Lytechinus pictus: one gene and its partners. The main gene of each other region encodes a partner of the protein of the gene in region 4 in a complex. Links are inferred from orthologs where the notes say so. Each region holds a gene or a part of one and is shown on either strand. Other genes may lie near its edges. The genes, in order: transcription initiation factor IIA subunit 1-like; general transcription factor IIF subunit 2-like; DNA-directed RNA polymerases I, II, and III subunit RPABC2-like; general transcription factor IIH subunit 4-like.

Region 1 (7,366 bases), on a different chromosome or scaffold from region 4:
AAAGTGTATAGAAATGTAGGTTTAATGTAGGTTTTCAAAACTTATCTCTTCCAATTTTGCATCTATCATGAAGATGACATAAAACATAAGGTAAAACACAATTTGACACAGCAGCAAAATATAAGACATGGGCCTAAGATTATGAAACGAAGTGTTGTAATGTCTGTTCACAATGTGCGCCTAGTTGTTCTATCACAACATGCCATAATCAGTGGGTTCTGTGCAGGCGCGCCGGAACACTTTCAGTTTTAGGGGGGCAAAATCCCGAAGGGGGCACAAGTATTTTTGATAGCGTGAGATACCGAAGCGATCGAGCGGGAGAGTGTGTGGGACCCCCCATGGTAAGGACTTTGTGTAAAAATGGAGTATAAAAGTTGCGTATCGAAGAGCATTCAAAAATAAATTTCTTGAGAATTAAACATAGAATTCACTACGAAAGACTATACTCATAATTTATGAGAACCTATGAAATCTACGCGCAAAACAATCGTTTCGGAATGTGGTTTTCATGTCTGATCAATTAAATTACGTATTATACGCTTATATTGACTCAAAATACCAAAAATTTTCATGCAATATCCTTTCAGAAACATAAGCGATGGCTTTCACTTCGCTCATGCTTTTGGAAAGCCTAAATTGCCTTTTTCCAGTTTGAAAACCCCTTCTTGCTGAAAACCTCTTCTTCTCTTCCACCACTAGGATTTTTTCGCAAGCACCCTTGTCGGCATATATGGCAAAATGCCGCTCAGGGCGAAACCGCCTGCCGTGATTGTCTTTCTTGAAGTTAGCTGAAGTAGACTGATTTGGGTTTTTCCTTTAAAGAACTTCGGTTTCTTGTCCCTTCTGGCATATGGCAGGGTTTTCGTGGATTGTGGAGGACTCTGGCAAACCTCCACTTGCTTGAGTTGACTTTGTAGTGTCCTTTTCCTCTTTTTTGTACTTTTGAAAAGTATGTTAGGAGTGATCGAGATCCTTTCGCATTGTCTTGGAGTTCTTTTTGCTCCTTCTGTTTCCTCCCGTTTCTTCATGATCAGGGTCGCAGTTCCAGCAAATGACGAGCCTGGCAAACGAAATTGTTTCAAACAAATGTAATATAGGCCTTTTAAAGACTTTAAGATGACAAACATGACCGTACGCAGCCGGGGGCCGCCGATCGAGAGGGCAAAAATTCATTGAAAATTCACCAAAAGTGTGCACGAAATCCTTCAATTTTATTCTAGAAAATGCAAAAGCTCCCCCATCACAAACCCCCTCGCTCTTAAGTTTCTTTGAAAATTTAGTTCTTGCAGCCCCACCCACCCCGGATTTTTTTATATTTTTGCATACGTCCATGAATAACAAAAGCTGGGATGAACCAGAGAACATAGCTGCCTCTCGATCTGATTATATAGTAACAGGTAATGGGAAGGAGTTTTGGAATCTAAAATACAAAAGTGCTATATTATCATATGAGCTGAAATAGTATCAGACAAAACGCCTGCCAATCATGCCAATGAAAAGGAATCGAGGAAAATACGGGACTATGAAAATATCTTAAGATTTTTATAGTAGAGCAGTACTGTAACGCTTATTTTTCTTTTATATTCTTTATTTACATTTTTATTCATATATCTCGGATAATATGAGTCAGATCAAGTAGACACTTTCATAGATGATTTTATTTTTTCATGCATAAGCATTATCTCTAAGTTGCTTTCGAGTGGGATTCACCATTTTCACAAATTATAATCCTCTACACATAATTATTCTGTGTGTAATTTTCTGATAACATGTCTATATTGAGTTGAAATGACCTTGGTATTTTCTTTAGGGCACTGACTTGTTATCATTGTATTAACTCAATTCATATTTAGTTGAAAATGAAATAATTGAAATAAGTTTTCATAATTTAAATCTATATCTTTATCATCTACTTACTATTTCAGGGATGACTTCCACAGGCAACAAGTATATGAGATATTGACGACCTCGAGATGTTATGGTTTCTGGGCTTAACAGCTATGACATAGATTCCATAATGTTGCTCGAGTAACTAGCGTTCACGCGCGTTAAGGCCACCGCACACCTTATACTGTTCGCGATCCGATTTTGGAACAAATCGCATTTTGCTCATTTTCTGAAGATGTGAATGGAACATATCACTTTATTTGAGGTTAAAATTAATTGAAAAAATAATCTTATAACCATTTTGAAAGATTGCAAGCCTTTATTTTGAAGTAAAGGCCAAATTAGTTTCAAATCGTAGCCAATCATACGACTGCTATGACGTCATTACGACTAGATATTAAATTCTCTTTTATTCTAAGATGATAATATAGTCACAGATTTGATCATAGGTATTCGTACGATGATTTATGACATTACACAGTAAGACATTCCAAGTCTCAATATTAGCATCAAATTCTACAACATTTTATTCTGAAATCGGGTCGCAGACCAGTCGTAAGGTGTGCGGTCGCCTTTAGTGATATCGGGTCCGGTCTGAGCGTTTGGGCGACCGCGCGTTTGTTAGCCGACACAGCCAGCATGCATTGGTGAACCACTTTCAATTTGCCATTCGGTTTTAGTCTGAAATGTATTCATTAAAAGGTTAAACGTTATCACACTGTAATAAGATAGAAAAGGGGTTTATCAAAGGTATGTTTCACATGCAGAGGGACATCGTCAAAAGACGCGAGGCTTACTATGATATGTAATAGCCCCGTCATTCATTTTTGACAATGGAAATTACAATTTTTAGGCAGAAAAGTGCCTTCATCGTTTACTTTTGTCCTTAAATTATTTATCATTTTCTACTTTTAGGGGGGTACATGGGGGGGGGGGGGGAGCAAAATCTCGTTTTGCCCCCCAAAAATTTTATTTGGGGGGGGGGGCAAGTGCCCCCCCCCTGCCCCCCCGCTTCCGGCGCCCTTGGTTCTGTGTTCGATTGCCACCGGGTCAGTAGTGGTAAAGTGACCATAGATGCACCTTGTTTCCCGGAAGGAAGCGAACGCCAATGTATTGGCTAGTTGCTCGTTGATCATAGAATACTCCCCTAGCTAGGGAATATGCATATACACTGTATTAAAGTGGCAAGCCATATTGACCATTATACTAATCTGTATATGCGCATCAGAAGGCTCGATCATCGATGTGATAAGCGCAATAAAAGTGGATTTTGAACAACCAAATCGGTAAAGGTTAACTGAATGTAAATAAAATCTTTGTTTCAATTTCTGTTTTGAGGAATCATTTTTTCATGTTAAAAAGAAAGTACACCCCCAACAGTTTATTTGAATGAAGATAAAAAAAATCAAACAAGTAGAAACTTCATCGAAATCGGATGTGAAATAAGATAGCCATGACATTTTAAGGCTTCGTTTATTTTCCAGAAATAATTAAATTCACCATATGCACATAAGTGAAAGAGTCGATGGTCTCACTCACTTACTATTTCTATTGTATTTTTTGTACGATATCTCAAATTTTGCAAATTTTTTCAATAAAGGAACCCTACATCGAACATCAGCGTTAATTCCACATTTTCAGGGAGGAATCAAACTTTGTTTCACAATATAATGAGGAGAAAATGAAAACATTCATATTTCATAAAATAATAAATAGTGAGCGGGTTACACGATCAGGGGAGCGTTTCATCAGCATTTTCATCCGACAACTTGTCAGATCTGACAACTTACCTTGATTTTTGATTGGCTGAGAAGCAATATTGCTATGGCTACTGTCAGATAAAAACAAAAATCTCCAAGAATCCTCATTTATATACTGACCAGGATGTACAAATACCTTGTTTGTTTGATTTTATCCTTCTTCAAATCATTTTTTTTGTGAGGATAGACCATTGTCCTGTAAGGGATAGAGATTTATTTATTCACCTGCATGAACATTAATTAGAAACGAGGTGTTGCCAAGGATTTCACTGCATTGCGGATGAATGATTTGTATATTTTCAAAAATCAAAACTACCTGCTAAAAATGGTATATTCGTCATTCATTGAGGCATTTATTCCAAATTCGTATTCTTCATCAATTGTCATATAGCAGACGACAAACTAGATAACGGAAGCAGACGATTTTTACATACAAGGCTATTAGCAAATTATGAAAACAAAACTCTATTATGAAAAAAAATATTGACTTTTTGATTGTATATTATTACTAAATGTATAAAAACTAATTACAATTAACCAATTTTGTTGTTTTATACATGTAATGATACATTATATTTTCATTAACTTGAATAGTTTTGAACGAGGAGTTTTAATAGGGGGTATGACAATTCCTTCAATTTGCCGCTCCCCTATAGGTGAAAAAGAGAACTTGTTGACGAGTATAAAAGCCACGAGCGACAGAGTTGCAGTGGCTTCGGTGGAGCCGAGACGTGAGGAGAGAAGCGTACCTGTACTCTTTTTTTCAACTCTCATTTCATCAGATCTGGACCTTTTCTTTTGAAATTTGAAAATGGCTTCTAATTCTCAGACTGTGGTGAGCCTTTATGGGATTAATAAGAAAATTCACGGGGAAAAATATGTGTTTAATTAAATAAATTGTCTTTTTTGAAAATGACTGTCTATGAACCGAGTCTGATTTTGATTAAAATAAAAAATTTCAGTAAATATTTAGGGAGATAGGTCAGACTCAGTCAGAGGACGCATCCTTCTTGACGAAATTTTGACGTCAGATAATAATATAATAAACAAAATTAACGACAGATTATTGGATGAATTGGTAATCGATGATCATGGTTTGCAGGGGTTTGTCTTTTTTTCAATAATTTCCTGATAATGTAGATCTATTCATCATATATATTTTCAGCCTTCCCTAAATTCTCTTCTTTCGCATTTTACAGCACAAATTGTACAAAAGTGTAATCGATGATGTGATTAACAACGTTCGAGATGCATTCTTGGACGAAGGAGTGGAGGAAAATGTTTTGCAAGATCTGAAACAGGTAAGAATACGCTGCCTGCGCCTGTTTGAACATTCTGCCAGTGGCAAAATATGTACAAAGCTGCTCTCGTTCTTCTGTACATGTACCGGTAGTGGTACTGTGATAATCGCACAGAAAATATTTGCAATGGCAATGCATATTACACGTCGATTGAGAGGACTGATGTTCTCTCAAGAGGGGCTTTTTCGGATGCCTCTTTTTCGTTTTTGCCAACTCCAGCACGATGTATAGATTGTTCAGAAGATCCCCTACCCTAAGAACAAAATTTCCTCTCTTTTCGACTCCACATTCTGTTTTCCCACTTTCCGATAAATCCTTATTTGTAGGAACCATTCGCGCCCAATTGTGCGGTGTGTCACGGCAGCGGTCTCGGCGTGAACTGCCATCTTTACAGGAGCGCCGCGACCTCTTGTTAGGGTTCGATTTGCATATGCCCATGTATTTATACTGGAGCCTCATTTGACTACAGATCGCCTTGCAGCCAATGACATTCGTGTATTTGGTTGAGTGACCTTAGGTTTTTATACATATTCATGAAGTGGTATTTAGTGAACCAATGAATATCCGCCGGTGCCCTGACTCATGCATAAAGAAGCTTATTGATCATATGTCTTGGTAGTCTTCGTGTCTATTCTCTTTCCAGACCCTTTGAATTACCGTTGAGGTTGGATAAAATATGAAGCAAACAATCAGAGGATTGCTATTTTGTTTTCAAGCACATCTTTTGATATTATTTGAAACCTAGTTTTTAGCACACTATGCAATCATTAATCACTATTGGAATATTTATTTTTGAAAAAATTAAAAAAAACTTTAGAAATTATGCATGTGTAAGACAGACAAGTTTAAAATAGAGTCTCTTTGAATAAACTACCATTTGATGTCATTCATGCTGGACTGGTGAAAACTTATAAATGACCTGTTTCAACCATTCTTTTTTTGAGGGATTTTTTTTTTTTTTTTAGAACTCAATGAAAAAAAAATTGCCAGGTGTTATTTCTTATGTCTTTCATCAAATCTCTAGTCAGAATAGAGATACTGCCCTCTTCATTTTCCCCCCTTTTTTAACTTTTAGAAAGTTCTTGGTCTGCAGCCAGGTTTGGGCTTGGGGGGGGGGGGGGGTGGGGCTCCCTGATGCTTCCTCTCAATTAGCTTGGAATAAGTCCATATTTATTGTAGTTTGGCGAAAGCAAAAAAAGAAATTTAAATAGGCTAAAACAGGCCTATTGGGTATATGAGATGTGCCGCTGGGAAGGGTGAATTTTTCAAGAAAAATCCTTAGACATTAACCTCCCGTTTTCATAAAAAAGATCTTTAGACATGATTCCAATTTCCACAAAAATAATCTGAAGACATGGGGTCACTAATTTTTATATTTCCCACGTTATTTTGTCTGAGATTTAGAACTGTGTTTGCTCCCAAATGATGAAATATGCAGGGCCGAGTCAAGTATGCCTAAAAAATATTCATATCCACAGAAAATGAATAGTACATTACATACCGTAATTTTTGTCCCAATGATCAATTTGTCTGGTATGGCGCAATCAGATAATTGGTGCTGTATAATATATGCTTCAGTTGGTGCGGGTTTGAAACTCACCAAACACTTTCAGAATGTTTAGAATTGAATTATATTATATTGCACCTGAAATGTGTTAACATTAAAATTCAAATTCAAACATGGGTCGTCTTTTCACAGAAAATCCTTAGAGATGGGTGCCTATTTACGGCAAAAGAATCCATGGATGTGGGTATGGGTTCAGGGGTCTCACTTTCACACCCCCCCCCCCCCCGAATTTCGACTCGTCTCTTCTTTTTTTTACTTCCAATTTTAATATTTAAATGATGAATAATCTATGATTTTTATGAAATTAGTTTTAAATATTTTTTTTAAATAAGTAATAAACAAAATTAGGGGATTTGGCATAAAACAGTAGCATAGTCTGCATGATTTGTCCTTAACTTGAATAATTGCTGGAGCCAAAGATTTGTTTTTCAGACCAGAATATTCAGAACATGTTATTTACATCTTCTAAGTCATACAGGGAAAAACTCATTCCAGCTTACAAGATGTAAAATAGGTAACATACATGTACATGTACCTGGGAATTAGTGGCAAAGTACCTCATAAGGGCATAGTTCAAAAGTGGGGAAACCTTGAAGCTAATGAGGGTTTCCTGAATTAACAAATACTTTTGTTTGTTGATGTAATCATTTTACAATATTATTGTATCAATATTATAATAGATTTGTTCTAATCATTAAACTATTTTATCATGATTATCATTATTATCATCATCATTATCATAAAGTTTCATTATGAAAAAACAACTTTCCTGTTTCATTTTGGTTAATCTTGAGATGTCTATTTTGCTTTGCAATGATTGAACAGATATGGGAGGGCAAGCTCATCCAATC
Region 2 (7,185 bases), on a different chromosome or scaffold from region 4:
TTGAAAATAATGTGATGAATTGGGAGATACATCTTTTCAAAATAATAGCACATGTAAATTATGCATCATACATACTTAGACCATGAAGATTGGAGCATTCAATTGCTGAGAAAATCAAATTATGAATAAATCATTTCATGACTAGAAAATCACATGTGGACGTTGAGATGGGTACCCCCGGGACATCGAATTTTAATAGTTTACGAAAGTAAACCATAACAGTTTTCTTTGTAAAATAATGATAATTATACGCCCTTCTACGGTTCCAAACATCATCAAAATATAGTTTAACAAAAACAAAAATAAATCTTTGAAACTGAAACATACGATTTGACAAATTCTATGCATAAATTAGAAATAGAATTTATCCAAATGTTAATAGGGGTCTGAAAACGACAAATACGAGTCCAGTTATGGATGGCCTGACGTGGTAGAATCTTTGTCGATTAAATCATTTTACTATTTCAAACTGAATGGTTTTGTGGCGTTTTACCAACAGTTTTTATAGTTTCTTTTTATTAGAATTATCATTGAATGCATTATCCCACTTGTTTTGTGATGTAATTTCAACCTCTATGATTGATTACGTAAGAGTATTATTTTCAAATATCTAGGCACTTTTGCTTGTCATAGTCTAACCACGTGATGCCACTACATCATTAAGAAAGAAGTTATGACAGGTTCGGAGGTGTCATTAATATTTAGTGAGGTTGTTGTACCCGATCTTGGTAAAGAGGGCTTTGTGAAACGGTTAGCGGACAAGTAGCTCACTATCTCCGATTTAGTCAAGAAGTTAGACTTATGACGGTGTTGAGAAACGGGCCCCAGGAGGCTCCTAGAGAGTAAAAATCATTTACTAATGTATGCTTACTCTAAACGGAGCCAGAAATTCCTTCCCATTCATCTCCGTGTACTGCCAAAAAACCTGAAACTTTCGCCCCCGAGATTTCTACTTTCCTTCTAAAAGATCTAGATCTAGCCCTAAATCATGTACCCGGTATGGGATACAACTTCATTTCCGACATTTCTACGCTATTGATTTCATTTTTAAACAAGAATTTATTTAAAAAACAAGAAAAATGTAATGAAAAGACGGGGAAAACTTGCCACCGTGTTTACGTCACCATTTTGATTTCGCTTGGCGACAGCACGCAAATCGTGCGATTTCCGTGCTTTCGCCCAGCGAAAGACAATGAAATCAAGAGTTGAGTTGATGACAGCGTCACTCAGGCAATTCCACTCAATGATAGTGGATGGGAAGAATGAGTTCCTGTATTGTTCAGTTCGCGCTCTGATCAGGCGCGTAGCCAGGGGGGGCGGTCGCCCCCCAAAAAGAAAAAAAAAGAAGGGGAAAAGGGAGAAAAGGGAAGAAGGGTATAGCCTATAGCTTTATTGTTTTTTCTTTCTTTTTTGTCAAAAGAATAAAAACCTAAACGAGATGTTCTTCTCTCTCTTCACACAAAATTTTGCTTCTGCGCTCCACGCGGGAAAAATATCAAAATTGCCTTAGCCCTTTGTTTCCCACACCTTTTTTTCTATTCCGTTTTTCTCCTTCCCGGCCATGGGAATCGCATTTTTGCCAGAAATTATAAAGTATACATGGGTGTAAGGAGTATGAGAAGTATTTTTTTCAGTTGCGCTGACACAAATTTTTCCTCGTCTGTTCAGAGTGGGTAAACTTTTATACTGTCACTCGATCCCGAAGTCCCCAAATGCTATTTCTTCCGCATTTCAGCAAGCAATATTTTGGCAAAGTATCTGCTCAAAGGGGGAGCATTGAATTCGTGCCGTGCTATATGCAAACGTTGGTACGATGAAACTTTATTCTAAATTTATATCGCTGCACATCCATCTCATGTCCTGTTTTGCGCCATTGATTTGAAATTTTGAATATCACAGAAGTTTCTTAATCATACAAAAGGAAGCGCTTAATATTATGAGCGAAATTACACAAATTTGTTTCTTCCAAAATAACTCACAGAAGTTTCCGTGCTTCGCGTGCATGGGAAAGGAAAAGTCCCTCTTCAAGCTTGCATCATCCCTTTCACATTTTGAGCTACATTTTTCTTTGTATTATTTATAGAAATATCAAAATTAGAGCAGGTTAAAGTTTCAAAGAAATTTCTAAAATTCAGAGCTTCAAGCCATTCGCGGGAAGAAATATTTCCTCCCTGCATATACCCGCATCTACTGTTTTGTGAGTTAAAGAAATATAATGTGGTTAAAGTTTTTACAATCAAATCTGGTGACTAAAGTCTAAGATAGGCATTTTAAACCACTTCTGTTCTCAATTTCTTTTAATAAAACGTCTTAGCTTTCGCGCTTCGCGCGGTAAGAGGAATTATTTGGAATTCCTCAATCTTGTCCCATTTTTGGGGCACTCATCTTTTCTTTGGAAAACAGGTTTTGTTTTTAATCACAGCAAGTCAAATTGATAAGGGTATTATTAGAGACGCAAGAGACATCTTCTTTTGATTCAAATTTGATGAGATATCAAAAACTCCCCCCTGCACCTCCCTGCACCCTCCCCCCTTGCCCCGGGGACCTCGACACGACGTTCGGGCTGCCGCAGGCGCAGTAACCTCCCCCCTATGCCCTAACTCCTAAGGCCCTAGGGAGCGCGCTTTGTAAGTTTTGGCACGCTTCGCATGCATTTACCGCCCCCTCCAAAATTAAATCCTGGCTACGCGGTTGGCTCTGATTGGATTGTAATTTGTAGCACTTGTTTTTATTGTTTGAAAAAGATTACAGTACACTGCAGTCCCACCTGTACCATTCTGTAACCTGTTTTGAGACACTGCCATTTAAATTGACTCGATTATTAATTTTTATTTACCTTGACCAGCCAAATCGGTCGTGCAGAAGCAGTCAAGTCGAGCTCCATCTTGGACGTCATCGTAATGACCTTGGTAATTTGATAAAAGTAGAAAAGGACTTTAGTTCGTAAGGCTACTGCGACAGAATAATTTACAATAAGCAAGATTATCCGACTCTTTCTGCAAGATATAAATACATCGCTGCTACCTCGCCGCAGATGGCGCTATACCCCAGATTGGCGTGAGTATAGTAACATTCTCGACGCAGAGCCGTATGAGAAAGACGCGGCGCGTCAAATATTCGTCTTGGGTCATGTCGTGGGCCGTGGGTCATATTACCGATTTGCCAAGATAAAAAGTTGGTTTTCGAGCTACCATCGATTTAATGAATTTAATTGTTGTTTCTGTTCATAGACATGGATTGAAGGATGAGAGAAATTACGCATCTTGTCCTCGATCAATAATTCATCCTTTCATATTCCTTCCCTTGATCCTCACTCGTCTCTCTCTCTCTCATCAGTCCAACCCATTCATTTCCCATTGAGGAAGCAATAGTTTGGGGATTTCGGTCTTCAATATCCATCAATTTCAATCTTTCGTGTTCTCCTTTTCCGTCCATCTTTCCCCCTCTCTTTCTTCTATTCAGTACCCTCCGTATTGCAGAATATAAGGGGCTCGTTGTAATCTAGATTGCTGAGGTCGCCATCAAAAGGAAAATGACAATGAGTGCATAGAAGAGACAATACAAGTAATATGTTTTCAATTTGTCGGCCCATATCTATCTTTATTGCCTTCTGCCTAGCTATCTAGTTGTCTGCCTGTCTATCAACATACCTACCTACTTTCTTTTAGCCTACTTTCTATCTTTTGTTTGTTTCATTTTCACCCATTAATTCTTTCCCATTCTCTCTTTATTATGCTTACTATTTATTAATTTCGCCGACCCCCCCCCCCCCTCTTTCATACCATGTCTGCTTTTCTCTCTGTTTTCTAATTTATATAATTTTTCGTTATCTGTTTATTTTCAAACACAAAGTAAGAACAAACATTCTATTGTTGTAACAATTTGATTTAAACTCTTCAGTACCTGGGCAACTACACAATCATGATTAATCTGTACAGAAATACAATATACCATCGTAAACATAAAAAAATCATTTCACGTATTTATAAAAACACATTCTGCTAGATTAACAATATAAAGTGGCATTAAGAATCAATTAGTACGATCTAATTCAAAATACAAACGAATTAAACCTAGACAAGCATTTGAATATATTCATTTAAAAACGATGATTTGGATAAATACAATTTGTCAAGTTTTGTTCAATATGTAGTTAGAGGTATGACTCGTCTGTCGCGTGTATGATTTAGGTTTGACGAATACTGACTGCATTTCAATACGAAATTAATTGCACTTGAGAAAAAAAGTATAATCAACCAGATACTGCTGGTAATTATTGCAGATTAAAACGCAGGAAAATAAATCAAATGTTAACTCTGATGAATTTGATAAATCCTTCCTGCACCTGCTTTCCTGTTTCTGAATATAGTGGAGAATACCAATCCAAGCCGTGAAAGGCAATATCATAGTTAACCCAGTCCACATCGACACCACCATCTTTTAGACGATGATAGTAGAATATTCCGTCGTCGCGCAGGGGATCATAGCCGCAGGTGACGATGTAGGCTTTCGGCAGTCCTCGCATATCTTCGCGAAGGATCGGCGAGAACCGAAGATCCAGGACGGTATCTTTGAGGTCATTCCAGATCGCCTCGTTGCCGAAGTCGCTGGATTGGGGCGGGGCGTAGTACGCGGGGTCGCGGAAACTCTTGGGGATCAGCGAGTGGTTGAAGGTCTTGCGGAAGCGCGGGGAATTCTTGAAGGCGGCGGAAGTGTGGTTGTTCGCCGACATCTGCTCGACCAGGGAGTCGTTGAGGACTCCGTTGAAGTACGCGCTGAAGGTAAACCCCGTGATGGAGTTTTCAATCCAGGTTTTCTCGCCGAAAACATGGTTGTTCTTCTGGTACGAAGGTGTATGGTAGTCGAAGTGCTGCAACCAAGGGAAGAGATGCACCTGGAGACGGACGTCGGGAAGGGCCGGGTCATCGTGAATGGCCTGGACGATCGCAGCCGTGAGGTAGCCGCCGGCACTGTCACCTCCTACGGCGATGCGAGTTGGGTCGACTCCGTAAACGTCGGCGTGTCTCATCAACCATTTCGTAACGGCTACCCCGTCATCGTATGCTGCCGGGAAGGGGTGTTCCGGGGCCAAGCGATAACTGAACGAAAGTAGAAAATTAGAAAAGTCAGCTGGTAAAACCCTCTAAAACAAAACGAAATATTATTCCATTTTTTCAGATAATATAGGCTAATCATACGTTAGGATTTCGTTACATTTGGTCCTGGGACAATTGCTCTGCTGTAAATTCCACACACTGAAAAATGACCAAATTAAATCTTGGATTCCCTTTCCTAAACCTAACACAAAACCCTATTGCAACCCTAACCCGAACCCTATGTCTTAGACGAAGTAAAGCCCGGAGAAATGTCGTGCCACCTTCTATGCCAGACATGAATGAAAGAACCATCCCAAAATAGGTGGAGAAATTTATTATTAATTTTTTTCCCTCTCCTATCCTCTTTCCCCTTTTTATTCATTGATTGAAAATATATAGGGGCTGCCATCCCCTGTCCGTTGTGGCACTGCCCCTTTCATTATTAGCATTTCGATCATGAATTTCTGATTAAAAAATGTAGGAACTTACTCGACAGATATGACAACCATCCCTTCAAGTTGTCTTGCTATATCACGGGTACCAATTTCATAGATATCTGTTATGGGGAAAAAGAGAAAGAGAGAGAGAGGGAGCGAAAGGCAGAAAGAGAGGAAGGAAGGAAGAAAGAAAGAAAGATGGGAAGGAGGGAAGGATCAAGGAAGGAAGAAAGAAAGGGTTATATTAATTAGGGGCGGATCCAGGGGGCATGAGTTGACCCTTTCAAGCAAACATCAGTACAATGTTTCTTTCGTCTCCCCATTTTAGACGGGATATTGCCTCCTTTTAAATGAGGATGCAAGTTTATGTCCCTTTAATACTGATCTGACGGTGTACATGGTGTACGAGCTAGCACGCCCCCTTTCGCTCGTCAGATTTTTAGGAAGAAATCAAACCCTGTTCTTATTTTTTATTCTTGAAATTTTCCAAAACAAAATCGATAAACTTTCTGCCCCTGCACCATTTATGGACCCCTCCCCAAAAGGTGAATCGGGATATATCATTCTCTGAGTGAGCGCTGCGGCCGAGTGGATTAGTCTCCGACTTTGAAACGAATCCCTGTCATGGCAAAATTTATTTAAGCATCGATCCGTATTTTTCTGCACTCAACCCAGGTGGGTATTTCATGAAGCTGTTCGAAAGTTAAGAGCGACTTTAAGGACTGGTGATCCTTTATTGTGGCAAATGATATTCACCATGAATGTTTATTGGTGATTATTTAGCACGTAAGAAAGGTTCACCAGTCTTTCTTAAAGTCGCTCTTAACTTACGAACAGCTTCATGAAATAACCCACCCGGTGAGGTAGATGGGTACCTGAATATTATTCATTGAAATGCTTAATTGTGCCGTGCAAAAGGCTTGCCTACCTCAAGCCATGGTTCGAATGTCAAAGTGCCTTTGGAAGTGCATAGCGACTAGTGAATGGTACGTCATATGGGCCAATAGAGAAGTAATATCAACATTATTATGGGTGATTTCAAGTCCGGTGTTGGTGTTGGAAGCTTAATTTTTATTGTCTTTCCTCTCTGAAACCAATTCCAAGTTTATAAAAGTGATATCACAATATTAACGGGTCAATACACCTAGCGAGTGACTTTTCAGGACCAGTTTTATTTCATGTTTGGTGCTATGCTGATGTAAAAATTGACCTAACACCAACACCAAAAGATCAACACTTAACTAGAAATCACCCAACAACCACTCACCAACGCTTCCGACAGTAAGACCGCCTCCATGAAGAAAGATAAATGCCGGCCGTTTCTCTTGCTTTCCCTCTGTGTGCTGGTAGAAAAGTACCCTGACCCCGTCAAAGGTCGTGTCATCTAACGTGACCTCTGACCCATCTGATTGTGACGTCTTACCGGCTCCTAACTGATAGATTTTGGCTAGAGCTGTAAGGCTAGTTTGTATGACAGAGAAATCAATTGTTGAACCTCCGCGGACCAGGGATTCCAGGTACATCTAAGGCAATCGAAAATAAGAGAGATTAAACAGTAGGCCTAATAAGTTCTTCTATTTTCCATTTATGTTTTATTTCCACGGTCCCGCAACATTACGAAACTTTGATATAATAACATAATAACGTTAAAC
Region 3 (8,011 bases), on a different chromosome or scaffold from region 4:
CCTAAACCCTAACCCTAACCATAAACCCTAACCCTAACCCTAACCCTAACCCTAACCCTAACCCTAACCCTAACCCTAACCCTAAACCCTAACCCTAACCCTAACCCTAACCCTAATTGAATTCAATTCCCATTGAATTCCTTCAATGGGAATTAAAACTTTATTTCATATTTTAATGAAGAAAAAATGAAAATATTTCATGTATAAAAAATACAAAAGAAATAGAGAGTGAATGACATCGATCACCTCACTAACCAGGATATGCATATATTAAACTGTTTTGTGAAACCATACTTTGAAACGCTTGCCAACGATGTTTTGAATGTTGCATTGCACGGTCACATCGTTGGTCGTTGGCTAGCGGCGCACCCAACGATGTATAGCAATAGCTAGTAGTAGTAGGTAATTTAAAAGAGTGTATTAATCTTGTACTATTGCACCTTCACATCGTGGGTCGTTGGTTAGCCAACGATGTTTTAAATGTTACATGGCACCGTCACATCGTTGGTCGTTGGCTAGCGATGTTTTGAATATTATATTGCACCGTCCGTACCGTCACAACGTGGGTCGTTGGCTAGCAGCGCACCCAACGATGTTTAATTATAGCTCTAGTAGTAGTCAAAGGGCAAAGGTCATTACGTATGGCCTGGATGCATTGCTCGTACGTACCTTCCTTCCTGGTTTTCTCCCTCCGCTGCTTTCGGAGATCAGCCCTATGAAGGCAATAGTATCCATAATAAATAATCATCCAGGGTTAAGAGTAGACAGGACAAGTCGTAAAGATATAGTTCATGCAGTTTAATTATGGTTATATGCAGGTTCTGAGCATGTATCAATATGTTTCAATCGACACATATGAAGTTTATAGATAAAAAATAATGTCTTAAGAAGCAGGCAGTCTTTGATAGAGACTGGTGGATCAGATACAGGAGGAAGAAGTACAACACAAGTGAACAGAGTAGGGTTTGCTGAGTTATAAGAAGAGATCACATCTGGGTAGTCTTTCAGAGATTCATTGAGTAAAGAAATAAACTCAAAGCGAATTGAGTTGGAATGGGGACATGTGGCGATAAAGTGTTCTACTGTTTCGTCTGCACTATGACAGTGCTGGCAGGTTGAGTCAGCGGTCTTAGCAATTTTTTTCAGTCTGGTTTGAAGAAGGTAGGTGGAAGAAAGAAGCTGTGCTCTCACTGTCAAGGCCTTTCTAATCAAGGAGGATGGAGGGTTTCTTGGGTAGAGGTCCTTGACGTCCATAGGCAGATTACCTGCCCAGACTGAAAGACTGGCTTTCAAAGGGATGGTTTGCTCTAGATCCTCATTGACATTTCTCCTCGTTGCTATGTTGATGGTGCGCTTCCAAGTGTTGTATTGAGGTGGATCTGTAATTAGATCTACAAGTGGTGGGAGATGATATTTGGACAGAGTATCAGCAAACATCCGGATGGTTGGAGTTGTTTTCTCTGAGGCATGAAGAAAGATTCTAAACTCGAACCGACAGCGATCAATAGAAAGAATTGACCCAAGGAGGAGGAGTCTGTCCAGTTCTATCTGAGCAGACACTGGAATCAAGTCTGTGAGAAGATACACAATTTCATCGGCTGAAGTGATTGGTACTCCTAGGATCCTTTTGAATAGCTGAAGTTGTGTTTTGTTCAGTTTCTTTAGCATTGCCTGGGTGAACTTCAGAGTAGCACAGCCATAGAGCATACGTGGGATGCAGTAAGACGTCCATAGGCGGGCAGTCACTAAAGGCACAAGACCCTCCGAGTATGCACCAGTTCCTACCATTGCATAGAAGGTGTTCAGACCTCTTGTAGCGATCATATCAGATTGGTCTGATTTCGTACTGGTCTTGAGAATTCCTAGATGGGTGTGTGAATCTGTCCGCAAGATTGCATCATTCCCTACTGTCCAACTATCCTGGTTACTGGCTTTGCGGGGATTGGTGACCACGATAGCACTCTTAGATGGGTTGATACGATAATGCCAACAAGAAGCATATTGGAACGTCACTTCAAGCATTTGTTGTAATTCTGAAGGGGAGTTGCTTAGGAGAGTGATGTCATCAGCCAGTGCAATCACACCTGCGTATTCCGATCGTATGAAGGTGCCGAGCCCAAGTGACTTTAGATGTTTTATGAGGCCATCAACGAATACGGTATATAAGGTGGGAGAGAGGATACCACCCTGCCTGACCCCTTGAGTGATAGGAATGGGATCTGACACATCTCCATCCCAAAGAACATGGCTTTCCATCCTTGAGTGTAGATTTTGTATGAGACGAACAAGGGAGATGCTTATCCCAATGGACTGCAACTTATCAATTAAGCCTTCATGCCACACACAATCGAATGCTTTCTCCGCGTCAAGATAAGCGGTGTATGTCGGAAGTCTCGAAGCAGTATTGAGTTCCAGAATAAGTTCAAGGCACAGAGATGTTAGCATGCATGAGAAACCTTTCCGAAACCCAATACGTACGTACGTACGTAGTATAGTAGTAGTAGTAGTACCAGTAATGCATGTACGTATATAATAGTATGGATATATCTAGGCTATATACCATTGAATTAGTATATAGCTATAGGTCTTGACATCGTTGTGTTGGCTGACCAACGATTGGGTAGTGAGCAGTGTCGGGGTATTCTGCAGTTAAGCCGAAAGACCCTTTCGTGCAATCGGCCCCTCGACTCTGGAGGATCCAGTGGATACGCAGAAAAACCACACACCAAATTAAATATACGGGACTGTATTTAACATGATTACAATAATGCTTAATTCAGCCGCATGTGCATGGGTAAATAAAGCTACAAAGTACGAGATACTATCACGATAAGTAACACAGTTATATCAGTCACATAATTTCATATGGAATACAATTTAATGATGTTCTTACTTCTCGATATCTTCGTCGTCAGCCATTGTTTTGTCGGCCTTTTATAGCTTGCTTGGCAAACGTGAGTGATCTCCGAAGTCCAAACGTATTACGCTAGTATACTTCGGATGAGAAAATATGAGCCAACTGACGCCAGCGCCACCCGTCCGTCCGTCAGAAATAATACAGGGAGATATTAAAGACATTATTTTGTCAGTTAAAATTCAGAAGATCAGGATGAAAATAATGATAATATTGATAATAACCACAACACAAATAATAATTATGTTAACAATGACATAAAGAATTCATATATGATCATCATTATATTATATATATTATATACCAGGTACATTTTTTTTTTGCTTTTGTGCTTATCATATATTAGACGAAGAAGAAGGATATCATGCAAGGAGAAGAAGAGGAAGGAGAAGAAGAAGAAGAAGAGGAGGACGGAGAAGAAGAAGAAGAAGACGGAGCTTGGAGGCGGAGAAGAAGAAGATAGAATAGGTTTATGCATAGTCGCATTTTGTTCAATGATGTATTGTTCTATAAAAAAATATGCCCATATGAGTCAAAAGTGGCCATGAGCACCTGCCTCTATATATAATAAACGTGTATATAATTGCTACGAAATTTGTTTTCCCCTTTGAACATGTTGAAAGTAAGTGTTATGATACGCCTATAAGTTCGCGCTTTGCGCTCGAGGCTGGGCTGAAATGGGACATTTTTGCGTAGCAGTCTGATCTGTCAAGCAGGGTCATGCATGATTATCACGTAAATATAGGCATATAGGCCTACTATAGATACTGAAGTTTATTATTAAGTCTGCCAAAACATGATTTGAATAGATAAAGAAATATCAGACAAAAAAAACATGACATTTTTATCAAAATCAGACAAGGAATAACAAAGTTATGACATTTTAATGATTTTGCATTATTTCGGTCAAACAACAGTTCTGGAAATGTGTCTTCATGAATATTCAATGAACAAACAGATGATGTCATAACCCCACTTGTTGTTTTGTATTTTATTATATGAAATTATGTTTATTCAATTTTCCGCCAAGAACTAAAAAAAGTTGGATCGACAACTGATTTAATGCATTGCTGCATGCAACTTATCATAGGTAGACATATCATTCACACTTGTATGAAGAAATAAATTATTTCCGATTTCATGTAATAACATAAGAAAATTTAGGAACGTGGGGATGTGACACCATCAGCCCACCCAATAAATATTCATGATGACGTGCATAATTGTTATCACAAAATATTGCTAAACTTTAAAATTAAATAACCTCGTTATTAATTGTTATCGGATTTTGATGAAATTTTCAGCATTTTGCTCGGTGAATATCACTATATTTATATTTTCAGCCCGGGTTAACCCTTTAATGATATCCCTGTTCATTATAGTTTTTAGATTTTTAGATATATATATATATAAAATTGATTTTCAATTAATTTGGTGAAACATTGGAGACCTCTGGGTTAAATTGGACTAAGACGTATAAGTATCACCATGGACCTACTGGTATTAGAAATACTGCTCACAAAGTGATTGATAATAAACAAGTGGAACGCCTCTGGCAGTCTCGCCTGCATTACGCGATTTAATATAGCAGCAGTGCTAACTTTGAAAACTACAATAAAATAATCACTCACAAAAATATATAATGACATAATGCCACGTTCATTGACCATAATACCTTGGTCACATTTGTTCTACGGCGGCCGTACGGCGAGTCGAGAACAGCCGTTTTAACATTTTTTTGTCCAACTATATATAGGTGGTTTGACTTAAAATTAATAAAAACGGCTGTTTTCGACTCGCCGTACGGCCGCCGTAGAGCAAATGTGACCAAGGTATAAATGACATTTGAACGGTGACTTAAGACTTGTCAACTACACCCATGTCCACATTTCATTCACTCTATCCATAAACTTTCAAAGTTATGATGGCAATTCAACAATTACCCCAACATGGCCTAAGTTTATTGACCTTAACTGACCTTTGACCTTGGTTTTGTGACCTGAAACTCACAGGGGAGTGTTCAGTGATACTTGATTACTCTTATATCCCAAGTTTTATGAACTAGATCTATAAATTTTTAAAGTTATGATAGTAATTCAACAAATACCCCCAACTTGACCAAAGTTCATTGACCCTAAATGTTCTTTGACCTTAGTCACGTGACCTGAAACTCGAGCAGGATGTTTACTAATACTTGATTAACCTTATGCCCAAGTTTCATGAACTAGGTTCATATACTTTCTAAGTTATGATGTCATTTCAAAAACTTAACCTTCGGTTAAGATTTTGAAAATAATTCACCCAACATGGTCTAAGTTCATTGACCCTAAATGACCTTTGACCTTGGTCATGTGACCTGAAACTCAGGTAGGATGTTCAGTAATATTTGATTATCCTTATGGCCAAGTTTCATGAACTAGGTCCATATACTTTCTAAGTTATGATGTCATTTCAAAAACTTAACCTTAGGTTAAGATTTGATGTTGACGCCGCCGCCGCCGTCGCCGTCGGAAAAGCGGCGCTTATAGTCTCGCTCTGCTATGCAGGCGAGACAAAAACTGAATTAACACCTTTTTTATGAAAATATAAAACAAAGGAATTTGTCATGGGATTCTCTCGGATTCGGAAATTCCTTAAACACTGAATAATTATTGTAGAACATTTTGGAGTTTTCATAAGCATAATTAGCTACGCCATCTTTTTTTGTGTGTGTTTGTTTTAAAGTATTTTTATTGCTTCTTCCAGTGACATTTAACAAACAGCAGTGAAATGCAAACATAAACTGATTTCAAAACTTGCTTTATGAATAATACATCAAGGTACCAGATCAATAAGTAATTCAGAAACCTTATGCACAAATTTATAAATCAATTCAACTGGTCCATCCCAATGCACTGAAAGAAATTCAAGAAATAATACAGAAAAAAATTACCACCCCTCACGTTCCACACACACAAAATCAATCCTTGTCTCCTTCGTCCCAACCACACCCCCCTCCCCCGTCCCCGCCATAAGCCGCCTCCCTGGCCCTACCCACATTTTTGTTTTGTTTTAAAATTGGTTCAACTTTAACATTGGGTCTCACCCCCCCCCCCCCTCCCCAGGGTAACCACAAAATAGGCCTGTATAAATTGGGGCAACTTTTTGTAACCTATATGTCTATCACGATCGAATAAGCATAACATATAGGACCCCGGCCCGGGATAGGACCCACCATAAAAGGAGGAGTAACATTTTTTTTTTGCTGACATTTCATTTGAAAGTTGTGCGTATACTATAGGAACATCTTTTAACTGACGTACCCCCATTTTGATTGGCTGATTATCTTTCAAGGTCACATGAGTGTCCCATTTCTCCCCATGTCCCATTATGTATCTATATACCCGGTCTCCTGCATGTGGGCCCCAAACGGTGCCTACGTATAGTCTCAGTCTGTGTTGTGTGAGGATAAGGCATGATAACCGTACGCAGCGGGGGGGGGGGGGGGGGGGGGTGCCCTCCCAGAAATTTTGAATTTTTTTACTGAAAATTTTCAAAAAATTTACCAAGAGTGTGCATGAAATCCTGAATTTCACTTTAGAAAATGCAAAAACATTCCAATTACAGGCTCGGTTACTTCGCTCCTTCGTTTAATCTATTAATTAATTAATTAATTTATTTATTTGTTTATCTATCTATCTATTCATTTATTTATTCATCTATCTATCTATCCATCCACCATCTATTTATCTAGGCCTATCTATCTATATATTTATAAGTCTTTTTTAGTAGGGTGGCTCCATCAGTATTTTTTACACGTCTTGCCCCGCCTGCCACCCCCCCCCCCCCCCGCTATGAAAAAAATTACGTTATGAATATGCACAAGTGAGGGAATGGAAGATGTATCCGTCATCCATTGCCTGGTATCATAATGTACCTCACCAAACAAATATTGGAGTACATGATTTCAAAATTGTCACCCCGGTTGGCCAAGATTCGCCCCTGCACGCGCACACCACCGGCACCATGAACCGCCACTCAACCCTTGAAAAAGGTATCCGATATATATTAGAAGAATACCTTAATGACATTTCCAATACAAGTCGAAGTCGATGTGATTCCGACTCTTGAACGATTCTCACTCACAATAATGAGAGGCAAAAAGGGTATCACTAGTGATTGGAGCATCTGGTGAAAATATAACTTGGACGCTAATCTTAAATTCATTGCTGGAAAGGTAAGCATTGAAAGTGAACATTCTAAGATGATGAGAAATTTTACTGTTCTGTTTCCGTCGTTCGTGTTCCAAATCCAAAAGACCAAGGTATCGTTATCGTATTGACTGAGCTGTGGTGGAGTGTGGGCGTTTTCCGTGCTTGATCTTGTAATGAATGAACATGCCAATGAAGCGCACGCTGTTATAAATTTGCCGCTGGTCCAGCGGGCTGAAGTTGAGCCTGAACGAAGCCAATGCTGAAGCAGTGAAGGTGAAGGCTGAAACATGGTCAGCTCAGGAGATTTATGTGTGTGTGCCCGGTAGTTCACTAGTTGTTCCGAAATAACATCCATCCACTGGCGGATCCAGGGGGGGGGGGGGCCCGGGGGGCACAGCTGGCCTATGTCATATGAATTTGTAATTGTATGCTGTTTAAACAAAACAAAACTTAAGGTGTGCCCCCCCCTCCCTTTTGAAAATGAAGACCTCTTTTTTTTGCTTGTCAAAATTTTTTCGTGGAAGAAATGTCCATATTTTTGGGTAAAAATTCAAAAATTCTTATTTTTGGCCTGTCAAATTTGTATTCGGGAAATTGTGCCCCCCCCCCCCTTTTGGAAAATCCTGGATCTGCCCCTACATCCTTCAATTCCTTCCTCACATACATGTATGTTGTTGATTTTATCAAATTGATTCTAATGTTCTTGAATCTTCTTTGTGGCTTTGTGCTCATTAAAGGACAAGTCCACCCCAACCATTAGTTGATTTGAATAAATAGAGAAAAATCCAACAAGCATAACACTGAAAATTTCAACAAAATCGGATGTAAAATAAGAAAGTTATGACATTTTAAAGTTTTGCTTAATTTCACAAAACAGTTATATGTACATCCTGGTCGGTATGCA
Region 4 (7,892 bases):
GTTTGGCCGGATTGTATATATAAATATTTATGAGCCCAGAGTCCCGCTCCAAGGGGACTGCATGCGCTGGCCTAGCTGGTAGTCCTGGTACAAGTGCGAGCGTAGTTAATTTGGCAAGTATCCAAAGTGTGGTCCAGGTATGGACGACTAGGAAGAGTCGCCATTTTAGAACTGTGAGTTACCCAATTAATCTGTCATCAGATAATTAAATTCGAGATAACAGTTGATTCGTTGAGCGCTATAACTTTCATAGTTTCATGTCAACAAGATAGAGATAAAATGGTTTGATGTGACAGAGGTACACGCGAGCACATGCAGTCAATCAAGTACAAATTGTCTACCGGTACGCTACGACAGGCTACGTATACCTGAATGAACTATAGCTTTATCAGTCTATCATTACCGAACCCCGAACCGAACCAATGTTCGGCAAATTTCTGCCGAACCTTGCCGAACCGAACCGAACCCGAACATGGCGCCTGACTTGCAGCACTAGGTATGAGGATGATGGGAGGGACGGGGATGATGAGAGGGATGGAGATGAGGGGATTGACATGATGAGAGGAGGGATGAAGATGATGGGAGAAGGGGTGGAGATAATGAGATGGTGGGAGGAATGGAGATGAGAGGGGTGGAGATGAGAAGGATGGAGATGATGAGGAGATGGTGGGAGGAATGGAGATGATAAGGAGATGGTGGGAGGAAGAGATAGATGAGAGGGATGGAGATGAAGAGAGGGGTGGAGATGATGAGAGGGATGGAGATAATAAAGGGAATGGAGATGATGGGAAGAGGGATGGAAGTAATGAGGCAGATGGGAGGAGCATCCCTATAAAGAAAATAAATCAGGGAAAAACAAGGAATGGAAATGGGCACGATGAATTACATCATTTTATTTTAAATCCTGAAAAAAATAAAAATAATTAATTTAATTAATCAAGTCAGTTGTTGAGCGGGGCCGAGCCGAGCACCAATGCAACACTGCTAAAAGTAATGGCTGCACGCGCGCCTATGGGAATCAAGAGCTGTAGGAAAAACGCCTAAAATTACACCTTTTTTCAGCGAAAAAAAGTAATAGTGAAGAAAATTACCATCAGACCATATCTCTAGAAAATCGTTACAAGAAATTTTGAAATGATGGAAAAATAGACGCAACTATGTGAAAAAAAACCGTGAAACGGTCCGAGTTGTCCGTAATCGGTAATGAACGATTATTAACAGTAGAGGCGCACAGCCAATATGGGAGACTCTCTCCAATAGGGGAGACAATCTCCCACATTGGAGACTTGCTTTGCAAAAGGACAAAAGAAACAACACCAACAAAAGCATGATTTTTTCCACCCAAAATTTTGTCTCACTGAGGTCAGAAGCCCATTTGTTTTGTGTGTGATTGACAACAAAAATCCTTATCAAAACAAAAGTAGACGGTGAATATTTAAAGTAGACGGTGAAAAGGGGTAATTTTTCATGAGGAGTCTGCTTATCACATTTTTATTTGCCGCCAAGGTAATCCTTTTGAAGCAAATGTAAACAAAGGAAATTGGACTCCAAAACTGGAGACTGTCTCTGAAATTGGATACCCAAATTCTTTACAAAAGTCTCTGATATTGGACTCTTTTGGAGATACTCTCCCACATTGGAGACAGTCTCCAATATTGGCCGTGCGCACTCTAGGCGACACCCCAATACTTACCCGTGCTAATAAAGTGGGACTCCGCTCACGCGCGTTTGGGCCTCCCTAGCTTAGAACTAAGCAATATTATCTAGAAATTTTTACATTGTAGTAATTAAATATGTTCTATTAAATAAATTGATAATGTTTAATCGGTACTCACCGGTTCTTTTGTTGCATTTTCAGACCATTTCTCACAATTCTTCGTAAATATTTGCGGCAAATTTTGTCGCCATAGACAGCTTAGCGTCCATCTTTATTGATAAATGGAGCGCCCTTTACGATAGTTGTTAATGCCGCGGATAAATCGTTAGGCATTTTGGCCTGTGTTCAAGGCGTTCTTTCTGTTTTATTTTTTATATTGAAGATTGTGCATTTGTTGAATAGCGCCGTCTACGTCAGGTATGAGATCGAGTGTATAAATACACTCTTCCAAAATAATTATGATTCCGACCTGGCGCTGTTTAACTTCAATCTCTTTCACCTAAATTAGCGATGAATGATAGCATTATAAAATATATATTATTAACGTCTGACGGAAAGAATAACCAACCGATCAGCTGACGAGAACGTGAATCACGTGATCTTCATATCAGCTTCGATCGCGAGTCAGAAGAGAAGAGCAGCTGCCCAGAAAATCAGGAAAAAGCCGTGAAAATGTAAGTTCCCCTTCATTTCTTTCATTTTTTGTTGTTGCTAACGATGCATTTACACTATAAAATTATAATTTAAATAAGAGAAAGGAATAGAGCTTGTACTTGTGATATAATTGCCTAAATATCCTGTTCTCAGAGATTTCTAACCAAAAATACTACTGATGTCGCCTATGAGGTCCATACATGTAATGTTGGACCTCATTGGTACTAGGAGTGGCCGTGCGCCTCTACTGATTAATCAATTTCTCCTTTCCCGCAACTTTTTTCTTCCTTTCTCCCTCTTTTTCTCCTTTTCCCGTTTTTTGGGGGGGCAGCCGATGAAGGGAGGGGGCACGTGCCCCCCCCCCCCCCGTAGTTACGCCACTGGTGAGGACGATTTTAAATTTAATCACTTGTCAAAAAAAAATCCAAAGTTGACGTAGCAAAACTTTCAATATGTGGGACTACACTATCAAAATGGGGCAATAAATCAATCAAAACCAAGCTTCTTTCTCATTAATTACTCACCGAAATACAGCTAGACATGTTGCAGGATGATTGTAGAGTCTATCTAAAACAGATCCTTGAAGAGTCCGAAGATAACCATGGAGATCTTTGCAGTCAAGTTTCCTAGAGTTGTCAATTGCATGGCCCATGGAAGACGCCATCTTGTGTCGTCACAAAAATATTAGTGGATGGATACCGGTATCGGAGACGAAGACGAGTGCCCGAACGAAGCCCGATCAAAAAGGTAAGACGAAGAATATGACTAGAGAAGTTTAACGTGAATGGTAAATTTGTAGGTCTTCATATTGGGCATGCCTCATATTGTGTGGTTTGACTTTAATTTTTTATTGTTTACGTTAGAAATAAATCTTAAACTGTTAGTATAATCTCAATCGAAATCTCTGTTGTTTTTTTCCACAGGAGAACATGTCATTACCGGCTAATGCGATAAGTATGCATACATAATGAAAGGAGATAACACGGTTCTGTGAATATAATATTGGGATTGCACAGGGCTTCAATCGCCAGGTTACTTTAGTGCAATTCCATAAATATGTCAAACAGATTGCCAAAATTTCAGATTGTACAAATCAAACTAAATGACACATCAAATGAAAGCTTAATGTACATTGTATGAATTTCAAGAGTCTATAGAAAGAAAAGAGTTATTGCCTAGGGCTAGGTCAAGGTCACTCACACTAGTATGAGGTTAGTATATAGTACTTAGTAGAGTTACCAAAAGGTCGGCCGATCCACTGAGCAAAATTGCTATGGCCGTATGGGCAAATGAAAAGCCAATTGCAAGTACGTAAACAGTGTGCATTGCCACCATCGTCTGTTCTCGACGGCAAAAATGAGCATTGAAATGCTTTTCCTCAGCAAATTAGTTCATCTTAGTGAAAAAAATTAGGCCCTGTGTTTTCTACATTTAAATTAACTTATGTGGGATGAAGTGTCTTACCTTCATGTGGTATCGAAAGTGACGTTTGGAGGTTAAATCCACGAGAAATCCACAGAGTTTCGTCGCGTGTATTCGCTATGGAGAAAAATGCGTGCGATCGCATGCGTTATTGCAAGCTCGAGACGGCGCTGTTGAACTTGGTCTGGAAATTCATAAAAATAAACAAAAATCCTTTGAGTAGGCTCACAATAAAATCATAAAAAATATGCTTTATGGCTTAAACGGCAGATCTCGTGCCCACACATATCATACTGACTGTTGCGTAAGAAACCCTTTTTTCATGATAAAAATATAGCAATAAATGTTTTAAAAATAATGTTTTCCACATGGAATATGTTTGAAACATCTATATTAGAAGAAAAATGTGTTTTTGGAATGAATTCACACTAAAATGATGTTTATATATGCCTGTACTTTTTCATACTACTCAAAAAACTAAATGGGCCGTCAATCAACGTTGGGTACCTCGGCAAGTAGGCGTGGTCTATCGTGAAGTTCGTTGGTGACTTGTCTCTCTCGCTAGACTTTACTCAGCCGCCGAATTTAATTCATTCTCCGCGCACGTGCAACTGCAACTTGTGCACTTATCATCACTTCTGGTGTTTGCCGCATTGAGGACAGATGAAACAATTCTGATATAGTCGCGCGTGTCCAATGAGTGGAAAAGCGCGATCGTTTCATGATCGAATGAAACAGTGTGCCTGTCGAGATAAAATTCATCTGCCATGTTTTTTCTATCATGTTTTATGCAACTGCAAGTTGATTTTTTATTTTATTTTCTTTGATATTTTTCTGTATGAATTTTATTTGAAGTGAATGAATTATGCTGGTGTCCTTGCCATTGAGGACAGATGAAGATGAAACAATACTGATAGAGTGAAACAGCGCGATTGTTTTATGATCGAATGAACAGTGTGCCTATCGACATAAAATTTATCTGTCATGTTATTTTCTATGATGTTTTATACAACTGCACTGTTAATTTGTTACATTATTTTCTGTGATATTTTCCTGTTTATGTATGAATTTTATTTGAAGTGAATTAATAATATTATAAAGATTAATCCAAAACAAAGCAAATAATTGTCGGCTTCATTGTATTCGTGATGAACAAGTTAAGGTATCAAAAAATGATGCTTATTTTTTTATTTGAATGACTGAGTAAATTTGGAATTGAAAAGAACATTTAGTGTTTCCTGTTCAGTGCATTTTTTTTTTCATTTCACATTCTCGGGATGCGAACCTCCACTATATAATTAATGAATACCATTATAAACAAAAATATTAAACAAATAAAGACTCGCAAAATTTTTAGTACTAGTGCAACGGTGATTTGTTGATTTTGTTGTTTCATTTACTGGGAGGCATAGGCGGCGGAAGTGGGGGGGACAGGTCCCCCTGCGGTGGGGGGGGACGGCCCCCCCCTAAAATTGAGGTTGATAACCTTTTTTTTTTTTTTTTGCTTGTCAAATTATTTTTTACCTGTGTCCATCACAAAATTTCAGGTAGACCCCCCCCCCCTTGGCTTCCGCCGCCAATGCTGGGAGGTACGACAGACAAATACCCGGTGTAGATCAATTTTTTTCCAATGGGGGGGGGGGGACAACAATTTTTTTCCCCGATCGGCGCCGTTAAAAGCCGATTTTTTTTTCTTTAACTCAGTCACATTTGCTCTACGGCGGCCGTACGGAGAGTCGAAAACAGCCGTTTTATTCATTTTTATTCAAACCACCTATATTAAGCTGGTACAAAAAAAATGTTAAAACGACTGTTTTCGACTCGCCGTACGGCCGCCGTAGAAAAAATGTGACTGAGGTATAACGAATCAATAAAAAAGTGCTTTGTAAAATATTTGTTTTATGATCCGAGTATCAACATTTTTAGCTCACGCTGTGCCCTATAGCATTATTTGATTTGTGGAGTACCTCCTCTTCGTGTAGGCCCTATTCCATAAATTTCTCAAAATATAACTTTTAAGGTCTGATTGTCATATCTTATCAGCTATATTGCGCGCACGTGCTAGAATTGGTGAGTCATGTATACCTAATATATATAAATCAAAGTACTCACATTCCCCTTTTCATTACAGTTTTTTTTAGTTAATAATAAGTTTATTAAATTAAAAATTTGCTCGCAATTGCCGTTCGCATTAATTTCGTTAAGTACGTTAATTAATGCATCCTATTCATAATGACAAAAGTGCTTATAATCTCCGAGGTTAACACTTTAAAATCAACAAATTTAGCGCTCTCATTAGGCTTATTAGATTAGTAAATAAGATATTGATAACATTTCATTAATTCCTAATACCGTAATTAACTTGTCACTTTTTTCAGAATGGAAGATCGACATGTTTCTTTTTGCGCTTGGGAAGAGGAATCGGAAGACAGTCATTCATAATGATGAAAAAATGTCCTTAGAATGTCCCGGTCCTACGGTCCAGAATAACTTCAGCTCGACATGCTTTGCATTCGCCTCATTTTTAAGAGCAATCCATGTCCACTTCACGGTTATTTTCCTACACAGTGCAGTGCTTAATTTGACCTTTTCACATCGGAATATCCAATATTTTCAGTTCGCGCTTCGCGCTCGCATTATTGATTTCCGTGATAAAAAGTGTATTAAGAATGCGCAAATTCTAGAACATGCATGTTTATTGAGACGGGCTGCTTATCCTGTATTGAAAACAGCATGCTTAAATTATCTCGCTTCAGATTAGAATATCAAACATTTTCTTCTCGCGCTTGCATTATACAAGTAAAGGTGTAACCAAGTACCCATCCTTTTCACGATTTAGAAAACATGAATATAAAATAGTGTTCCTTTTTTAGGTCTATATATCTCAATTTTTATCCGCTCACGCTTCGTGCTCCCACTTTGTACCTAAAATATTACTTAGGCCCTATTCTGTTCTGTTCATACACAAAGTGCTTGGAATGTCCATTTTTATGGTCAGAATTTCAAACATTTTTAGCTCGCTTTGCGCTCGCATTATTTTGATTGAACTGTAAACCGCCATTAGCAAGTCCCTTTTCGATCAGACCAGAATGTATATTTCTCTCTTTTCTTTCTTTTTTTGCTCCTCCTTCGCGCTCGCAGAAATTTTATTAAAATACGCATATTGTTCAAGTTCACAAACATTGCCCAGAATGTTCAATTTTGAGGATAAAAAACATGAAATTTCAAAGATATTTTAGCTCGCGCTTCTCACTCGCACTATAGGGGCTATGAGATTATTATATATTGTGTTTTGTGTATGCTGTTTAATGAGAATAAAGAAGTGACTGTTAGGACTACCCTTATTAACTTTTAGCAGAGCAAATATTTTTCGGCCCCTTCCCCGGTTTATTTCTAATTTGTTTAATTGCCAACTCGTCTACTATCGTTTGGTCCATCAGTTCGTCAACTCACCACATAGTCTTTTTTTTTCATTTAGTATAATGCCATTTCGTCTAATGACCAGTGGACCCAAAAGCCATTTGGTCCATATACCATTTCATCTAATTGGACTATAAATGTTATGAAAATAAAATGGCTATTAGACCAACCGGTTATGTGACTAAATGGTCATAGACGAGATGGTTATTAGAAGAAGTGATGATTGGACCAAATGGTTAATGGACCAATGGCTGTTAGACGAAATGTTGATGGACAGATTGGCATTAGACTTAATGAAAATAGACCATGTAGTGAGTGGACGAGTTTGCCGTAGACGAATTGGCACCCCCCCCCCCCCCCTATTGGCGATACCGCCCATGCACTACTACTTCTTTCTTATCTCATCCTTTTCATGATATATAAAACATGAATAGAGTGTCCCATTTTTAGGTCTAACTAAATCTCGATTTTTTTTTCCGCTCGCTCTTCGCGCTCGCATTAATTGTTTTATAGCGACGATCCTGTTCATGGTTACAATTGATTTAAATTTTCCATTCTTTATGTAGAAGTGTCCCCCCAAAAAAAATCGGCTCGCGCTTGCATGATTTTATTGTTGAAATATGTAACGTCTCCCCATGGCTAAGTGAAATAAGCAGTCCTTAACAGGTACCTTTTTGATCAGTTGAAAACGTAAACAAAAATCTTATGCTCGCGCTTTAACAAAGATCGGAAATTTGAT

Evidence for each region.
Region 1: general transcription factor IIH subunit 4-like (region 4) and transcription initiation factor IIA subunit 1-like share a complex: the UniProt entries of both Homo sapiens proteins name them as parts of the TBP-based Pol II pre-initiation complex. The link is inferred for Lytechinus pictus from reciprocal best matches to the Homo sapiens genes GTF2H4 and GTF2A1.
Region 2: general transcription factor IIH subunit 4-like (region 4) and general transcription factor IIF subunit 2-like share a complex: the UniProt entries of both Homo sapiens proteins name them as parts of the TBP-based Pol II pre-initiation complex. The link is inferred for Lytechinus pictus from reciprocal best matches to the Homo sapiens genes GTF2H4 and GTF2F2.
Region 3: general transcription factor IIH subunit 4-like (region 4) and DNA-directed RNA polymerases I, II, and III subunit RPABC2-like share a complex: the UniProt entries of both Homo sapiens proteins name them as parts of the TBP-based Pol II pre-initiation complex. The link is inferred for Lytechinus pictus from reciprocal best matches to the Homo sapiens genes GTF2H4 and POLR2F.

The regions. Positions count from the first base shown.
Region 1 is NC_087251.1:22,636,860-22,644,225, reverse strand, and holds the start of transcription initiation factor IIA subunit 1-like, read left to right. Parts: upstream 1-4,344; 5' UTR 4,345-4,458; coding exon 4,459-4,482; intron 4,483-4,846; coding exon 4,847-4,948; intron 4,949-7,340; coding exon 7,341-7,366. UniProt on the Homo sapiens protein: TFIIA is a component of the transcription machinery of RNA polymerase II and plays an important role in transcriptional activation. TFIIA in a complex with TBP mediates transcriptional activity.
Region 2 is NC_087260.1:10,629,059-10,636,243, reverse strand, and holds the start of general transcription factor IIF subunit 2-like, read right to left. Parts: upstream 3,022-7,185; 5' UTR 2,897-3,021; coding exon 2,837-2,896; intron 1-2,836. Other genes in the region: esterase LipI-like, read right to left, coding at 4,304-5,099, 5,586-5,652, 6,801-7,056. UniProt on the Homo sapiens protein: TFIIF is a general transcription initiation factor that binds to RNA polymerase II and helps to recruit it to the initiation complex in collaboration with TFIIB.
Region 3 is NC_087248.1:11,113,199-11,121,209, forward strand, and holds the start of DNA-directed RNA polymerases I, II, and III subunit RPABC2-like, read right to left. Parts: upstream 3,020-8,011; 5' UTR 2,920-3,019; coding exon 2,894-2,919; intron 1-2,893. UniProt on the Homo sapiens protein: DNA-dependent RNA polymerase catalyzes the transcription of DNA into RNA using the four ribonucleoside triphosphates as substrates.
Region 4 is NC_087259.1:21,886,308-21,894,199, reverse strand, and holds the start of general transcription factor IIH subunit 4-like, read right to left. Parts: upstream 3,005-7,892; 5' UTR 2,976-3,004; coding exon 2,836-2,975; intron 1-2,835. UniProt on the Homo sapiens protein: Component of the general transcription and DNA repair factor IIH (TFIIH) core complex, which is involved in general and transcription-coupled nucleotide excision repair (NER) of damaged DNA and, when complexed to CAK, in RNA transcription by RNA polymerase II.